2 linked regions of the Oreochromis niloticus genome follow. The protein of the gene in region 2 purifies or fractionates together with the protein of the main gene of each other region. This does not show direct contact. Links are inferred from orthologs where the notes say so. Each region holds a gene or a part of one and is shown on either strand. Other genes may lie near its edges.

The links. Proteins that work in one complex are often made in the same cells at the same time.
Region 1: the proteins of eif3ba (region 2) and mtor purify together in Homo sapiens (affinity purification with western blotting; 3 studies listed by BioGRID and IntAct, with this or other methods). This does not show direct contact. The link is inferred for Oreochromis niloticus from reciprocal best matches to the Homo sapiens genes EIF3B and MTOR.

What each region holds. Positions count from the first base shown.
Region 1 is NC_031984.2:28,352,369-28,360,307, forward strand, and holds the start of mtor (serine/threonine-protein kinase mTOR), read left to right. Parts: upstream 1-4,933; 5' UTR 4,934-5,076; exon of another isoform or gene 5,077-5,106; intron 5,107-5,523; 5' UTR 5,524-5,537; coding exon 5,538-5,666; intron 5,667-5,850; coding exon 5,851-5,959; intron 5,960-6,073; coding exon 6,074-6,306; intron 6,307-7,939. UniProt on the Homo sapiens protein: Serine/threonine protein kinase which is a central regulator of cellular metabolism, growth and survival in response to hormones, growth factors, nutrients, energy and stress signals.
Region 2 is NC_031971.2:13,426,074-13,433,013, forward strand, and holds the start of eif3ba (eukaryotic translation initiation factor 3, subunit Ba), read right to left. Parts: upstream 3,027-6,940; 5' UTR 2,988-3,026; coding exon 2,888-2,987; intron 1,881-2,887; coding exon 1,688-1,880; intron 1,563-1,687; coding exon 1,443-1,562; intron 1,353-1,442; coding exon 1,295-1,352; intron 1,115-1,294; coding exon 986-1,114; intron 871-985; coding exon 713-870; intron 458-712; coding exon 326-457; intron 225-325; coding exon 158-224; intron 64-157; coding exon 17-63; intron 1-16. Other genes in the region: integrator complex assembly factor BRAT1, read left to right, coding at 3,529-3,655, 4,328-4,476, 4,572-4,719, 4,949-5,405, 5,728-5,835, 5,979-6,070, 6,157-6,260, 6,642-6,828.

The sequences.
Region 1 (7,939 bases), on a different chromosome or scaffold from region 2:
TAACAGTAAATACTAAATATTGAATATTATTGTGCAGCACGTAAGCTCGACAACGCACAGTGTGTTTTGAGGTAGCAGCCAAGAAAGGTGTAGTTTGTGTCTGTGAGCACTCGTGTGTACACCTGTGAGCATGAGCGCGCTTGTATTCAAAAGGTTCCTTCGTGTAACGATCTGCTAGAGGGTGTGGGGAGCCATAGCCCCGTCCCCCAGGGCGTGAAGCAGGTATGGAGGAGATCCACTCTCCAGACATCCATAGGCCCCCAGAGCGCACGAGTCCAAGGAAGACCAACGGAGGGGCAACCATGCCACCCTCCTGGAAAGAGCTGAGGAGAGCCCCAGACAAGGGGTCACCCAGCAGCCATGGAGCAGAAGCCAGAGGGGGCTGCAGTGACGTGCCCGTGAGCTAATTCTAATTCTAATTTTAAATATAAATGATAACCTTGTGCTCCTTGAGGTTTTCTACCACCATTATTATCTGTCTTATCTGAGATAAGGCTAAGTGGGAACAAGAGAAAAGAGTGTCAGTGAAGAACACCATGTAGACTGTCTATCCACCTCATAGATAGCCAGCCAGATAAAATCCCCCTACTTCCTCATGTCAAATAAGTCATGTCACACATACCTACTGTATTGACTACTTAGGGCGGATTGTATCTGTGATGTCTCCACACAAACTTGATAGACATCAGTACTAAGGTGGACCTTAGTTGACAAATTCTCTCAAAGTAGGGTCAGTAAACGCCAACTTGAAAAAGTTTCTGCAAGTCATTATGTTTAAAACCAGCTGTAAACTGTTCACTGACCGTGCTGACAGCAGGGCAGCAGTGAATGATCGCAGGTCTGCTTCCATTAGTTTGTTACGGGACCTCTCCATCCATCTGCTCCTGCTCCCGCCCAGCTCCCGCTCATTTATGCAGAGTGGCCACAATTTACAGAAGGCCATTTTGTCTAATGGATACCATTCATTCATTCCCAGTGTGCTCTTTGGCAGGCGCTCACCAGAGTGCATTAGGAAATTAGTCCACTGCGAACGCGGACGCCATTGGAGATGAACGGCAAGATCAAAACCTGTCTGACTCCCGGTGATTCAGTCACTGCCATAGAGCTGATTTTGTATTCTGTGTCTGTCGGCTATACTTCAGTTGCTCCATCGGTAATGACACCATTTTGATGTGAAATTGGCTACTCGGATTCACTATTAGAGAACTGTGCCATCTTCCCTCTGTTTGACATATTGAATCCCACCGTAATAAAATGATTACCAAAGAACAAGACACAGGCCTGTAGTGGATATGATGAGTAATGCCTTTATGTAAACACTAATACTATTTTCAGCCAACGGCACCAGCAAACACTGTTATACCTCCTGATTAAGGACTTTTTGATGTACAGGAACTCAATGTCAAAGAGGATCCTCATTTCCATAAGCTGGTTTTAGGTTTCCCCTGCAATGTGATTCATGGATTAGCAATAGTGTTTGATCTATATGACTTGGCAGGGGAAGGAAACTTGATCAATAGACTGACTCTGTGGGTGTATGTGTAGCTGCCCTTCAGGGAGCTGAGCAGTGTGCCAGAAGACAAACTAAGCACTGTGACAAGAAAGTGCAGCGTCATCATGGATTTCTCCTCTGTAGACTCTATTTGATCTAAAATGCCTGTCAGGTTTCATTAGGTAATTGCCCTCTACATTGTCTCTGAGCTACTTTGCACTTTTTTTTCATCTGCTCAGCTTTGCTGATTCAGTTCAGAATCATTTAAATCTCCTGCAGTGACTAAATTTAGACCTACCTGTATTCATCAAAAGGACACGATAGATACTGATCTAAAGATTTAGAGATCTCTAATTCTTTGCTTTTCTAGTAAGAAGTTAAGTCTATCAGCACAGAGTGCTGTTTGTATTGTTTTTGCTTGACTGCCATATTGCTCCATCATAGCTTTGCTGGGCTTTACAGTGCTTTCACACACAATGGGAAGAGCAAAACCCCTATCCCTATGTTGGAATTAATGCTTTGTGGTTATCCAGGTGTCTCCCTCTAACACAGGCATAATAGGTAGTGAAGGTATCAAAAAATGTGTTGCCCAGGCAGGTGGGTAAGATATAACACATTCAGACCAGGATATAGTGTTGGGCTGCAGCCAGGTAGGGGATAAGAGCTGCCTCTAGCATTTAGAACCAGATGTTACCTCATGAATTCTTGTCCAGGAATCTGTGACTCATACTACACCGCCCAACCACACAAAAAAACGGCAACAAAAAAAAACGCAACAAAAAACCCCCAGAGAACTTGTGGATACTGCAAAAAGAAAAGGGAAAGAATATGGAGAAGTGGTGGGGGATAAATCATGAAGCATTTGACAGGGGGAGGGAAGGATGAAGGTGGGAAGGATTAACAGATGGATAGATGGCAGATGAATAAGGTAGGTGGAGGAGCTAGTGCAGAAGCGAGTGCTTTTTTCCCCCTTCCCCTCCTGACTCTCTCCATCCTTCAGTGTAAATGGAATGACAGGCTTCATCGTGGGGGAAATATTTCAAAAGTGCGGCTGAGTGAAGAGGCAAAGCAGAAAATAAACAGGATGGATGGCAGACGAATCAAAGCCTTGGACTGATGAAAGTGCACCCAATATCCTGTCTGTCACTTAGCAGAGGAGGCCGGCTGCTTGTTAGGACAAGAGCCTCTGCAGCTGTGAGTGTACATACATTTGTGGCGCTGAAGTGGGTTTATATGTGCGTGTTGAAGTCAACTGACTGCATGTATGTGGGTTTTTTAATACCATTTAAGCACCATCCAAGTCTTTTTTCCCCTCTGTCTCACGCACAAGAACTTTTCAGTGAAAGCACATGTTTGACACAAAGGTGAGTCTTCCCGATTGAATGAGTTGGTGTCTGATGGGTGAAATATGTCTGGCCCAGCTACACCTACGATAGGGAGGGAGGAGGGCCTTGGGTAGAAAAGTAGGAATCTGTTCCTCTTTCCTGTGTTGTTAAAAGCTTCATTTTCTCCACGTAAAGCGCTGTAAGGCTGTAAAAGCTCTCTTTCTGGTTCTCCTCCCATTGCAAAACCACAAACCCATAGCTGCATTTACACAGCATTTACACATTAACACGCACATTTGTATTTGCACCACACATTTGCACATACATGATGCACGCATGCTCACAGAAGTTGCAGCTCTGCCGATTACAGCAATAAACTGATCAGTGTTTGATTTACTTCATGTGCCACAGGACCTCAAATGCATTTAATTTGGCACAAGAAAAATGTGCAAGAAGGACTATGACAAATGGTTATTCCAAAGCAAATGATGATCCATCTTCACTATTATGATCCATCTATTAGAATGAAAGTAAGAAGTGGTTGTTTCATTTAGTAAACCTGAAGAGATCCTGTTAAAGTGTGGCATTGCTCTTCATATTAAGTGATGATCTTTTTTCTTTTAAAGCTGTTAAAGAGAAACTTTTCAACTATGGTTGTAATTCCAAATGAAAGGTTCACTGTCAGTAATGACTGAAATTAATTCAGCATTTCAAAATGACAGGATGGCTCACAGTGATACTGACTGATCCAGTGCTCTCAGTTCTACTGTTATAATCCATTATAAATGTGTGGGTTTTATGGGTGTTTTTCTCTGTCATTACACAAACTTGCTACTGCTGTTTTTCTGAACTTGAAAAAATGCAGGTGTCTCCTTGCATGTTTTAATGCCAGGTGTGCAATAGCTGCACACGTGTATGCTGAAATACATAAAGTAAAAACTCCAGGATCAGTCCGATTGTTTTGCAGGTGTAAAATTCATTGATAAGTTAGAAGAATTGGTGATTGTGTTGGATGATGGGACCTCCTGACACCTCTAAAGGAACACCCTTGGGCCCCAAACCCCAGGGTGGGAACAATGGGCATACAGTACATTGTTTGCTAGTGAGAAATTATCTCCTATAATGATCTCATGGGGAGAAAGACAGTAGCTGTGGTTCATTTTGATGATGAAAATTCATTTGACATTTAGGCTCCAATTTCCTACAAGTGGGAAATAAGAGGGTACTCGCTTAATTGGTGTGCTGCACTATGGTAAATGTCACCGCTCATGTAGAACCACGTAGAGCCAGACATGTTTCTTTAATACTGCAAGGTGTCTGTATGCCTGGTCAATGTCTCCCCCAAGAGGCTGTAAGTTGAACAGCAAAATAAAAAACAGCCACACAGGGCTGCTGCACGCAGTGGACGCTTTTTGTACACTTATTATTATCTGCATTTAAAGTGTATTTTCATTCATGTCCTGAGGAGATCAAAGCTGTATAGTCTGTGTACCTCTTGTTTCTAGAAATTCTAATATGCTTATACTGTATATCTTATTAAATTATCTAAATTCTCAGCAGTATTGGGCCCATTTCCTCCACCAGATCAAAAGCTGAAAACAACAACAACAACAAAAAAAAAACCAAACAAAAAAACTCCCTGACATGACAAGTATGGAGACAGTTAAGGGAAAATATTCCCTGCTGTTTTAGTATTCAAGAAAAAAAAGAAAGAAAAAATATATAGACTACAGATAGTTCAAAACTTATATATATAAAAAACAAATGTATGAAAGGCCTCCATTATGGAGCTATAAATGTTCTTACAAGGCTGCTTTGTACTTATTGTTGTTGAACCAAAGCGACTATCATTAATGTTATTAAGTAGCTACACCATGAGACTAAGTCTGCCTGTAGTGCTCCAGATTAATGACATTTAATGACATTTAGTCAGGGGAAGAGCACAAACTATAAGTGTAGATTGTTAAATTATAAGTAACATTCGTCCACCATAATTTTAAAGGTTTACTGGAGTAAAAATGTTGAGGTAACTGGAGTACTGGGCCTCAAAAAACATTCACATAAAAAGACGAGAGGCTCTCGAAACTACACTCAAGGACGTGTGAGTTGCGCTCAGCTCAGCGCAGACTGCGCAACTTGACGCTTGTGAAGTTCCGTGTGTGTATCGCTAACTCGAGCTAATTCATCAGCTAGCCAACCTTGCGCAGTGTTGGCCAGGTAGACGTACAATGAGAGATATTCCGGATAAATCGAATAGCAGTTAAGTGTTCGGCATTGTAATACAAACACGTAAGTGATACAAAGCGACTTTGCCTCCTTGCTATTGGGTTGTCACGGGAAATAGGTTAACATTAGCACTAGCTTGAGCTAATCAAAACAAGCACGAAACACTCACGAGGCTCCGGTTTCACCTATTACACCGCAACTACACGGGCGTGTCCGCTTTTGTATTAGTTGTGTTAAGAAGTATGATGTATGTTTCCTAATAACTAGCAAGCTTTGCAGCTTGTTTTATTAGCTAACCAGGCACGTTAGCTAGCTGGGACCAATGTCAGTTAATAACATTAACCTGGTGTTTTATCAGATTAGCACTTGCATTCCTTCTTTCCATGTGTACTGTTTACCTTGTTGTTGTTTTTAGATACTGGTTGTTTAATAACCCGGAATGTTGCATTGAAACCACATATGTCGCCCTCCCCCATGCAGATTAGGCCGTCCAAATGGTGGTCATATCAGGCACAGCCACTGTGCTGCAGCAGTTTGTCAGTGGACTGAAGAGTCGAAATGAAGACACTCGAGCAAAATCTGCCAAAGACCTGCAGCACTATGTGACTACAGAACTCAGAGAGGTAACAGCAATAACCTATATGTGCATAATTGAAAGCTGTCATGGGAAAACCACTTAGTATACTGGATACTTAATCAAGATTGTTGCCCACTACAGTTGGAGAGTTTCACAAGTCATATGGTACAAATTCATGTAAACAATTCCTTCCTTTTTCCATACTTGCTGTTTTGACACTTGTCCCACAGTTAAGCCAAGATGAAGCTACTACGTTCTACGATGAGTTGAACCACCACATATTTGAGCTGGTGTCCAGCTCTGATGTGAATGAAAAGAAAGGAGGGATTCTTGCCATAGGTAAGCATTAATAAAAGGTTGTTAAAATTGTTATATTTTTAAGCGCTGTTAATTTTGGACTTATTTAAGATCTCTTATTTTCTATCACTTTAAAATGATTATTGTTTTCATCAGTGAGTCTAATTGGAGTTGAAGGAGGCAATGCCACCAGGATCAGTCGATTCGCCAACTACCTCCGCAACCTGCTCCCTTCCAGCGACCCCGTGGTGATGGAGATGGCCTCTAAAGCTATGGGCCACCTTTCTATGGCGGGGGACACCTTTACAGCTGAGTATGTGGAGTTTGAAGTGAAGAGAGCTCTGGAATGGTTGGGAGCCGACAGAAATGAAGGGAGACGCCATGCTGCAGTAAGTCACTAGCAGACAACAGTCACTGTGGTGTTTGCTGTTCAAATAAAACCACATATTGGTGGTGTTTACATGTGCTGGAAATGTGGGCACGTTGGGAGCTGTAATAACTTTATCTATTGCTGTAGTGAAGGCAGTGTTGAAAGTTGCTCTAGTGTATTTTGGGTTGAAGGCACAAGTAGTACTTCATATGCACTCTCATACCCCAAATATCAGCACATTCTTGTTCTGTTTTCCCTGCTAAAATGTTTCCTTTATAAATCTGCTCATGCCCTTGTAACCGTTTCATTAATATTTTCCTCCTTGATGGTTGCATCAAGCAGTTGTTGTTACATAGCTGTTGTTATGCAGCTGCATGTGGTTTAAAGGTCTAAAATATGTGGCCTCTGCTCTCTGGCTACAACTTGCTTGTGGTGTTGGAGTGAGCTGGAGAGTAGTGAAGCTTCCTAAAACATATTTTTAAAAATTTTCTCAATGCCTACATTCTGAAGTGCACAAACATGTTTACACCTCCGCACAACGCAGTGTTCAAGGTGCACCTTTGCTAGATTATGTGTGCATGCAACCAGGGTGAATCCTTCATCCTCTTCACTGTGGCCTCTTTGCTCTGTTCTGTGTGCGTGTGGGTGGGTGTCGCCCAGCTGTGGCATCAGCAAAACCTCCCAGGAGAGAAGCTTGATGAGATGTTGATGCAACCCGGTCACTATGTTTTTATAGAGTACCGACCCCAGACACTGTTATTATTGGCTGGGGCATCACACGCACAGTCCAGAACAATCCTGAACATAGAAATAATTAGAAATCAGAGAATGTGCTTGCCTTTGCTGTGTTTTATTTAGCTTATTATGCAATTACCATTTTCACATTTTTACTGGCTGTAGAATATTAAATCTAGTTACTTTCCCCAGAATGTCCACATGATGTTGTTGGGAAATAACTATAAAAGAGCACGGAGATATGGAAAAGGGAGATGAAAACCAAATTGGCAATAAAAAAACTAAAATTCATGGTTGAGCTGCAATCAGTGCCAGAAACAAAGAACACAACAAATCCATCCATCCATTCGCTTCCGCTTATCCTTTTTAGGGTTGCGGGGGGCGATTGAGCCTATCCCAGCTGTCATAGGGCAAGAGGCGGGGTACATCCTGGACAGGTAGCCAGTCACAGGGCTAACACACAGGGACAGACAACCATTCGCACTTACATTCACTCCTATGGACAATTTAGATTTTTCAATTAACCTATCCCCACAAAGTGCATGTCTTTGGACTGTGGGAGGAAGTCGGAGTACCTGGGGAAAACCCACGCAAACACGGGGAGAACATGTAAACTCCACACAGAAAGCCTGATGGTGGAATTGAACTCAGGACCTTCTTGCTGTGAGGCAACAGTGCTACCGTACTGTCCACACAACAAATCCTACAAGCTAAAAAATTTAAGTGATCAAAATGCACTAAGCATGGGTAAACGGTCAGAAGAACACACATAGGATTGGTTGTGTAAAGAGATCAGTGATTTCACTCCCAAGTTGAATGTGTTCCAGCAGTAAAATTGAAAAAGTAAAGAAAAACAGGATCTTTTTTGCTCCTTAGCAAGATGGAGCCATTCATGTATCAGTAGGAACACAGTGTGG
Region 2 (6,940 bases):
CATGAAGGACTCTTACTTTATCCCAGTAATCTTGAGACTCTTCTTGTCCAGCAAGCCCATAGACTACAAGAAGAAAAAAACAAAACAAAATATAAACCTTTAATATCATTTGAACATTTCATTTAAACGCATCTAGACTGTTTTCAGGCCTACTTACCGGAGTTTCATAGATACTCAGTGTGTCTGGTGTCATCCTTGCAAAGAACTTCCCATCATGGCTCCATCTGATAACAAACATGTAAAATTAGAAGACACATCCAAACTCTGCAAGAAGCAGCAAATTTGATTTAAATTAGATTTAAAAGAGAGAAAGCATAATACGGACTTAAAAATAGGCCAATGTGCAGAACTCTCGCAGTGGAACCCTCTCTTCTTCTGTCCGGTCAGAATGTCCCAGATGATGATGGCCTGTGGGTCCTCCTTGGTGTCCATCAGTGGACTGAAGGTCACCACATACCTGGAAGCCAGCACAACCACACATTAAGCTCAGACTGTGGCTCACAGGCCAACTCGGCACCTCTTTAGAGTGCTTTATCTGCACATTAATCATCCTTTGCTGTCCCCATGTCATGGTGCAACAACCCATAGGATTTAGGTGACGTTGCCTTATTTACAGGAAATAAATAAATCACTAATGAATAAACACTTGAACGGGATACTCTATAATATAACTATAATGTGCTTCTTTGGATTAAAGTCGACTTTTGATTACCTTTCACATGGTGAGAAGTCGATGAGGGACACACCCTGATGGCTGAACCTCTGAATCTGTTTGAACTTCTCGCCGCCCCACAGTGCAATTCCCCGCTGGTGGAACGTAGCCAGGTAGGTACCTTTAGGAGACCATCGGACGTACGTCTCTGTCCAGCGCTGCATCAAAGCAGGAAAAACATCAGAACTCTCCAAACCAGTGACTACTGACCAGTCATGTTTGATACGAGCCCTGCATTTCCCACCAACTCTGCGTGAGTAATTAAAAACTCACCGCTCTCTCTTCAACTGTGATTGGCTCTTTAGCGTCGTTGGAGAAAATGGCAGTCCTCTCTCCAGCTTCATAAATCACACTGTACTGGTCACGGCAATCTGGGTCCTCGATCCAATGGCGCATATTCCCCTGAAAACACAAACAGAGTTATTGTCGCTTGCACGGTTTCAGGATAGAGACTGTCCTGTCGATTTATGAAGGTCAACTTAATAATGAAAGTGCTGACATGAAGCTATTTTTGCCAAACTAATTCTAAGTGTTATAAACTGATTCATTATATTATGACTGAAAAGTTAAGGTAACACTTACAAAGTCTTTGAAAGGCTGCTTTGCTGGAGCTTCCCATTCATCGCTGATGTTCATGTATCTGAGAAAAACAAAGGTACGATTATTTACTTGTATTCCAAGTCTGGCAAGCAATACCTGGACAATGCATTGAGTGGTACTGCATACTCACTTGTCAAAGTCAGTGAAGAGGTTGACCCTAAACGTGTGCTGCTTGTCGAGTTTATATCCATCTGCGTTCTTGACTGCTTCGAGGGCTTGAGTAGGAGAAGCATACTCCAGGAAGATGTAACTGTAAACGAGGAGAAAAAACAATTACTAAAAAACAAAACAAAAACTCTGCTTCAAATCCGGAAATCCACCTTGAATCAAAATAGATGCACAAAAGAACATAGAAGAAAACAACTGCGGTCATACCCTTTGGTCATACCATCCGCCTCTGGGTAAAACTCAGTCGTGATCTTGCCAAACTTGGAGAAGATCTTGTGTATGACGTTCTTGAGCTTTTCCAAACGCTCCGGGCCGACCTGAGGGACGTTGTCCACCACCACCACCGAGTCTATGCCGTCTGCCTCCTGGGGTTTCTCCCTCAGGATGTCATCAAGAAGCTCTGAAAAGTGAAGGAGGAGGGTCAGGGTGATGAACAAGCTGATAGGACTGTGTGGGGTTGGGGTTCTCATCTCATTTTAATGTCGACCTTCTTTTCATATACATGAACCAATCTAAACTTTATAGCCACCACTTCAGTTACTGGAAGGGAAGACTGCATCGTTGAAACAAACAATTCTTTTGTTTAAATTTTCTTTAGAGATGTGCAGGTTTAAGCTTCATGATTTATAAGTAGACAAAATATAATTACATCATAATAAAGTTAATTCAATAGTACATCTCCTTTACACTCACTGCTTAATACACATCATTTTGATAAGGATAAAGAACCGCTATGCTGGCGTGTTTAGCTTCACAGAAGCTATTTCATTTGTGTCCTTGTTTAACTTCAGCAAATTAATATTAAATGGTACCAATTTTGTTGTAAATTTACCCCAAGGTTTCTACTATACATAAATAATTATATTGTGACTACTAAGTACAAAACACGTGTATCTGATGAGTCATTTTACCACAACTGCAAAACTTGCACAATTGAAAAGCTCTAATGAGCAAACGCCCCTCAGACCTGGGTTAGGATTACCATTGAGCTACAACCAGCTGCCCCATTTAAACTACTTTATATAAGCAAACAGCACAGAGAAAATAATGTGCCCTAACGGCTTTACTAGCTAAAATCCTGTTTCGGTTTTTCAGATCGTATCGCACAGGCCCCAGTGAGTGGCTGTGTGGGGTCTGGGTGAGGCTTTAACGGGCGTTAAGTACACTGTGATAACGTTATGTTGGGAGTTTTTTGGAGAAAAAGGGTGGTGTCGCTGTTGTATTCCTGGTAATTACGCTTATGCATCCAGCTCATGGTCACTGTTCACTATTTACTATTACTACGTGCCGGTGACCAGAGAGGCTAGCTAACTAGCTTTGTAGCATCTAAAACATCCCCACCATTGAGCTCTTAGCTAACTGCTAACAGCAGGCCGGAAAGCCGGCGTTTTTCCTGTGACTACTTACCGTCGTCATCCACATCGTCCACGTAGTCCTCCGGGTCGCTGAAGGAAGGCTCCTCCTCTTCATACTCGGGGTCGTCCACCATATCCACCGTTTCTTTCATTTAACAGAACTACAACACGGACTTTTGTCTACAGCGGAGCAAAAATCCCGAAAACGAAAAGGCTGGCGATCCTCAGCCGGTGCAGCACCATGTGCGGATCCGTGAAAATGGACGACGTGACGGAAACGCGACACCGGAACCTCCTCAAAGGCGCGTGAAAAGGCTGCGCAGAAGCAGTAAAGCTGTAAAGCATAGGGACCGGAAGTACAACAGCTACTGGTGGTAATTTTCCCCCACAGTGATGTTTAGAGATCAGCGAAGAGCGCAGCGGCGTGAGACCCGCCCAGAAGCACGGAAAAGGAAACGACGCACCGGTAGATCCGAAACTGTTTCCCGCGAGACGTTCGTTTAGTAAAGTACAAAAAACAACGACTTTGTGTGTTTAAAGTGGCTGCTTCAGTTTGGTCTGTACTGCATAATTTAGCTAGAGGTCACATTTACATCCACATGAGTGGTTAGATAATGTGTAGACTTTATATAACTCCTAGCTGTAAAAACCTAAGCTAGCAACGGCGGTTATTAACACGCACACCTTAGCCCCATGGACAGAGAGTGTGTGTCACTGCTGCCCCGGGTCTGTGAGGTGCTGGCGGCCTCAGGGAGCTCGCTGCCCGATGACACCATTCTGGAGAAACTGCTGGACTGGTTCACAGCGCTCACCGAGGCTGGTTAGTAGTACTGACCCTAACAGGATCGTGTCTTTATTCTTCCTCCTCTCCCACTATCTTTCTAATAGGAGGATCAATTCAAATATTATATTGTTAAAAGTATCGATACCATCTAATCGATACTTTATTTCTATATTCTAAGTTCAGTGTGTAACCCTCTGACCTGGGTTGAATAACAAATATTTTGTAAATGAAACAAACATGTGATGACTGTCTTTTTTGTGTTGACTGTCACTTCTGCTTGATTTAAAGCCTATAGCATATTTGAACGACACAAGCTGAGACAGAGACAAGCACATTTACATTCCAGTTCTCCGAAAAAAAACCAGCTTCAAAATACATGAAAAGCTGAAAGGTGTGTTTTAAAGAGCCCTCATTCTCCAGAGAACTGATCTAAACTTAATACCATGCAGCGAATCACTGTATTTGTAGGTGATTATTACTCAGATTATATCACCGATATTTGCAGATAACATTTACATTTTGTAAAAGATCCCAAAACTCAAAGATACTTATATATATGTTATATTGCATTAATAAAGATAAATTTAAATTTAAAATGTTCCTTTTTCATGTCTTTTGTACCTTTATCATTTCTCTTTATGGTGCACATAAAAAAGTGATCCCGTGTAAATCTGTATCCTTGTTTTTCTTTTCTTTCACTCTTTGAAGGGGAGTCTCTGCTGGAGGCCTGTCCGTGTCTGCTTGAGTTCATATCTGCTGTGATTCATGACACGGCTTCAGCCCCAGGTGTCCTCTCCTTCACTCTCAGACTCATCGGCTTATTGGCTGCTGCTGAGGACGCCTTCAGAATTCTTAAGGTAGAGCTTCTGACGCCTGGTGTATTTAGTAAACTGTTACAAAATATTCCAATGCTTATCTGCCCTATCATTGTGCCTCCCTCTCTCTCTTGCAGGAGTCCTTAGTTCTGGATCTTGTCTTTAGCTGTAAGCACTGGCAGGAGTTAGGGCTCTGGGAGGATCCCTGCATACGGATTGGCTGGATCCAGGGCTTAAGGACCACACTGCAGCATCCAAATGGTCTTAGTTTCTTTATACAAGCAGGTGAGTTTTTTGCATCGATTCATGAGGGGGGGATCATTAGTATTAAGGATAATATGCTATTTCTATTCGTCCTTTCATTTGTTTGCTCCTGCATATCAAATTCAGGGTCACTGGGGGCTGGATCATTCCCAGCTGCCATAGGGCGAGAGGCACTGTGCTATAGGTATTATATTGTTGTAATTCTGATGCATCCTCATATATATGTATTATATTTGTTTGGTTTTTTTAGATTTCATTGAGCCACTTCTGCAACTCCAGACAGACACAAGCCTATTTGTTGCCTCAGCTGCCAATCAAATGCTCGCCCACGTCCTGCTCTTCTGTCAGCCTGTCTCATCTGTAGGATGTAATGGCACCGATAAGAAGGAAGATGAGCAGAACACACGTGCGTCCAAAGCAGTTGTAGAAAACCCAGCCGAGCCCATGGAAATAAACCAAGATTGCACCGCTGTTGTCGATGCAATCTCAGAGTACCTCAAGAGGGCGCTGGGGGTTCCCAAGGGAAGCACACAGCTTCATCAGTGTCAGCAGACTCTCAGACTGCTGGCTCTGCTCCTGGGCCAGACCAAGCCTCCTCTGCGGGACAAGCTGCTGCAGACAGTCACAGCTTCTCTGGAAGAAATGGTGGCAGCAGATTGTTGTGAACTCACACTGCCTCTGATGGATGTCATTCTAGCTGCATGCAGGTAAACCCCTCATAAAACACAGGAGAGTGTCGCTTTATAGAGTTGTCTGTCCTTTTTTGTCTCTACTAGAGATTATTTGGATTTTAAGTAGTGACTTTAAGAGGAAGGTGAGGACAGTGGAGCTTCCTGGCTGAATATGCAAATCTGCTAATAGATATAGCATCGATGGCTTTGTTCTATTGATCTATGCAATACCACAGGACAGTGTAATGGTCAGCCATCATCCACAGCATTTACCTAGTGGTTGTTTTTAAGTATACATTAGTGACTGTGCTGCTGTTCAGGTTTAGTTTATAGACTCTTGCTGTGCTTGCTTCTGCAGCCGCCTCCCAGACCAACGCATCACCCGTCTTTTAACTTTCATGTTGAACGCCAGGAAACCTGCTGACCTCGTCCATGCTGCAGCTGCTTTTCTCCGCGGCGGCCATCAGTAAGCACAGCTTCTTCAGCCAACACAAACTCTGTACACGAACGTCTGTAGAGGTTGGGTTTTCTGTTAAAAACCCATGGGGATTTGTCATTATAGTATCTGTCTACAAAATATTGTTCCTTTTCTTCTGGTTTTATGTGCAGTGACCGTGTCCACACAGCTCAGTCTGTGAGATTACTGCTGCTACCCCTCGACATCATATCTGGCCAGAACCTACTAGGCACAAACACTGCAGGTGACCCACAAAGACGTACACTCTTGAGAAAAATCTGTGTTATCTTGCATTTATGCTATGGAGTAACATGAGATCTGGGCCTGTAGGAGACATGCATCGGTTTGCCATGACTGAGCAGCTGAAGAGCAAAACCTCCTGCATCTCCATGATCAGTGTGTGTCTAACAAACACACCTCAGATCGCACACATGGTGAGTGTAAGGACAGGAGAGAGTGGCTAAGTAAATATTGGATCTTTTTCAGTTAACACTTTATAATTTTTAATTCCTCTGTAATAAAATAGACTTTTTAGGGTATTTTATTTGTAATTACAATGTAATTATATTTACATACACACAATTAAAGCCAGGCACACTAGAATAAGGGGATAACATGTATAATAATAATTCTTTCCTGTACTGTACACTTGTGTACCTAGCATTAAGTAGCTGTATGTAAACATAATTACATTGTAATTTCTGATAAAATCTGAATGATAGAAGTAACAAGCCCTCAGTCGCAGGCCGTGTTATAAGGTGTTAGCTTTTTTTTCTAACACATGGAAAGGCTTATAATCTCCCTCTCTCCCACAGGATCCTGACTGCCTCCCCTGCGCTCCGGATTTAATCGTGTCTGGAATTCTGTCGTTACTGAGGATCTGCAGTGGCGACTCGTTCTCCTCGTCCGCTGGCTGTAGTGAAGTTTTCAGGAATGTCATTGGCAGTGGGAAAGTTCAGAAATGTGCTCTAGAGGCTCTGACAGCTGTCAGTAACAGCCCAGGTAAAGCTGTCATTAGAGTTAGAATCCATATTACATGAATGAAACTAAAAGGGAATACTGAAAACAAACAAGTTTCTTTATGGAGGATATAAAGACCTTCAGTGCATGTATT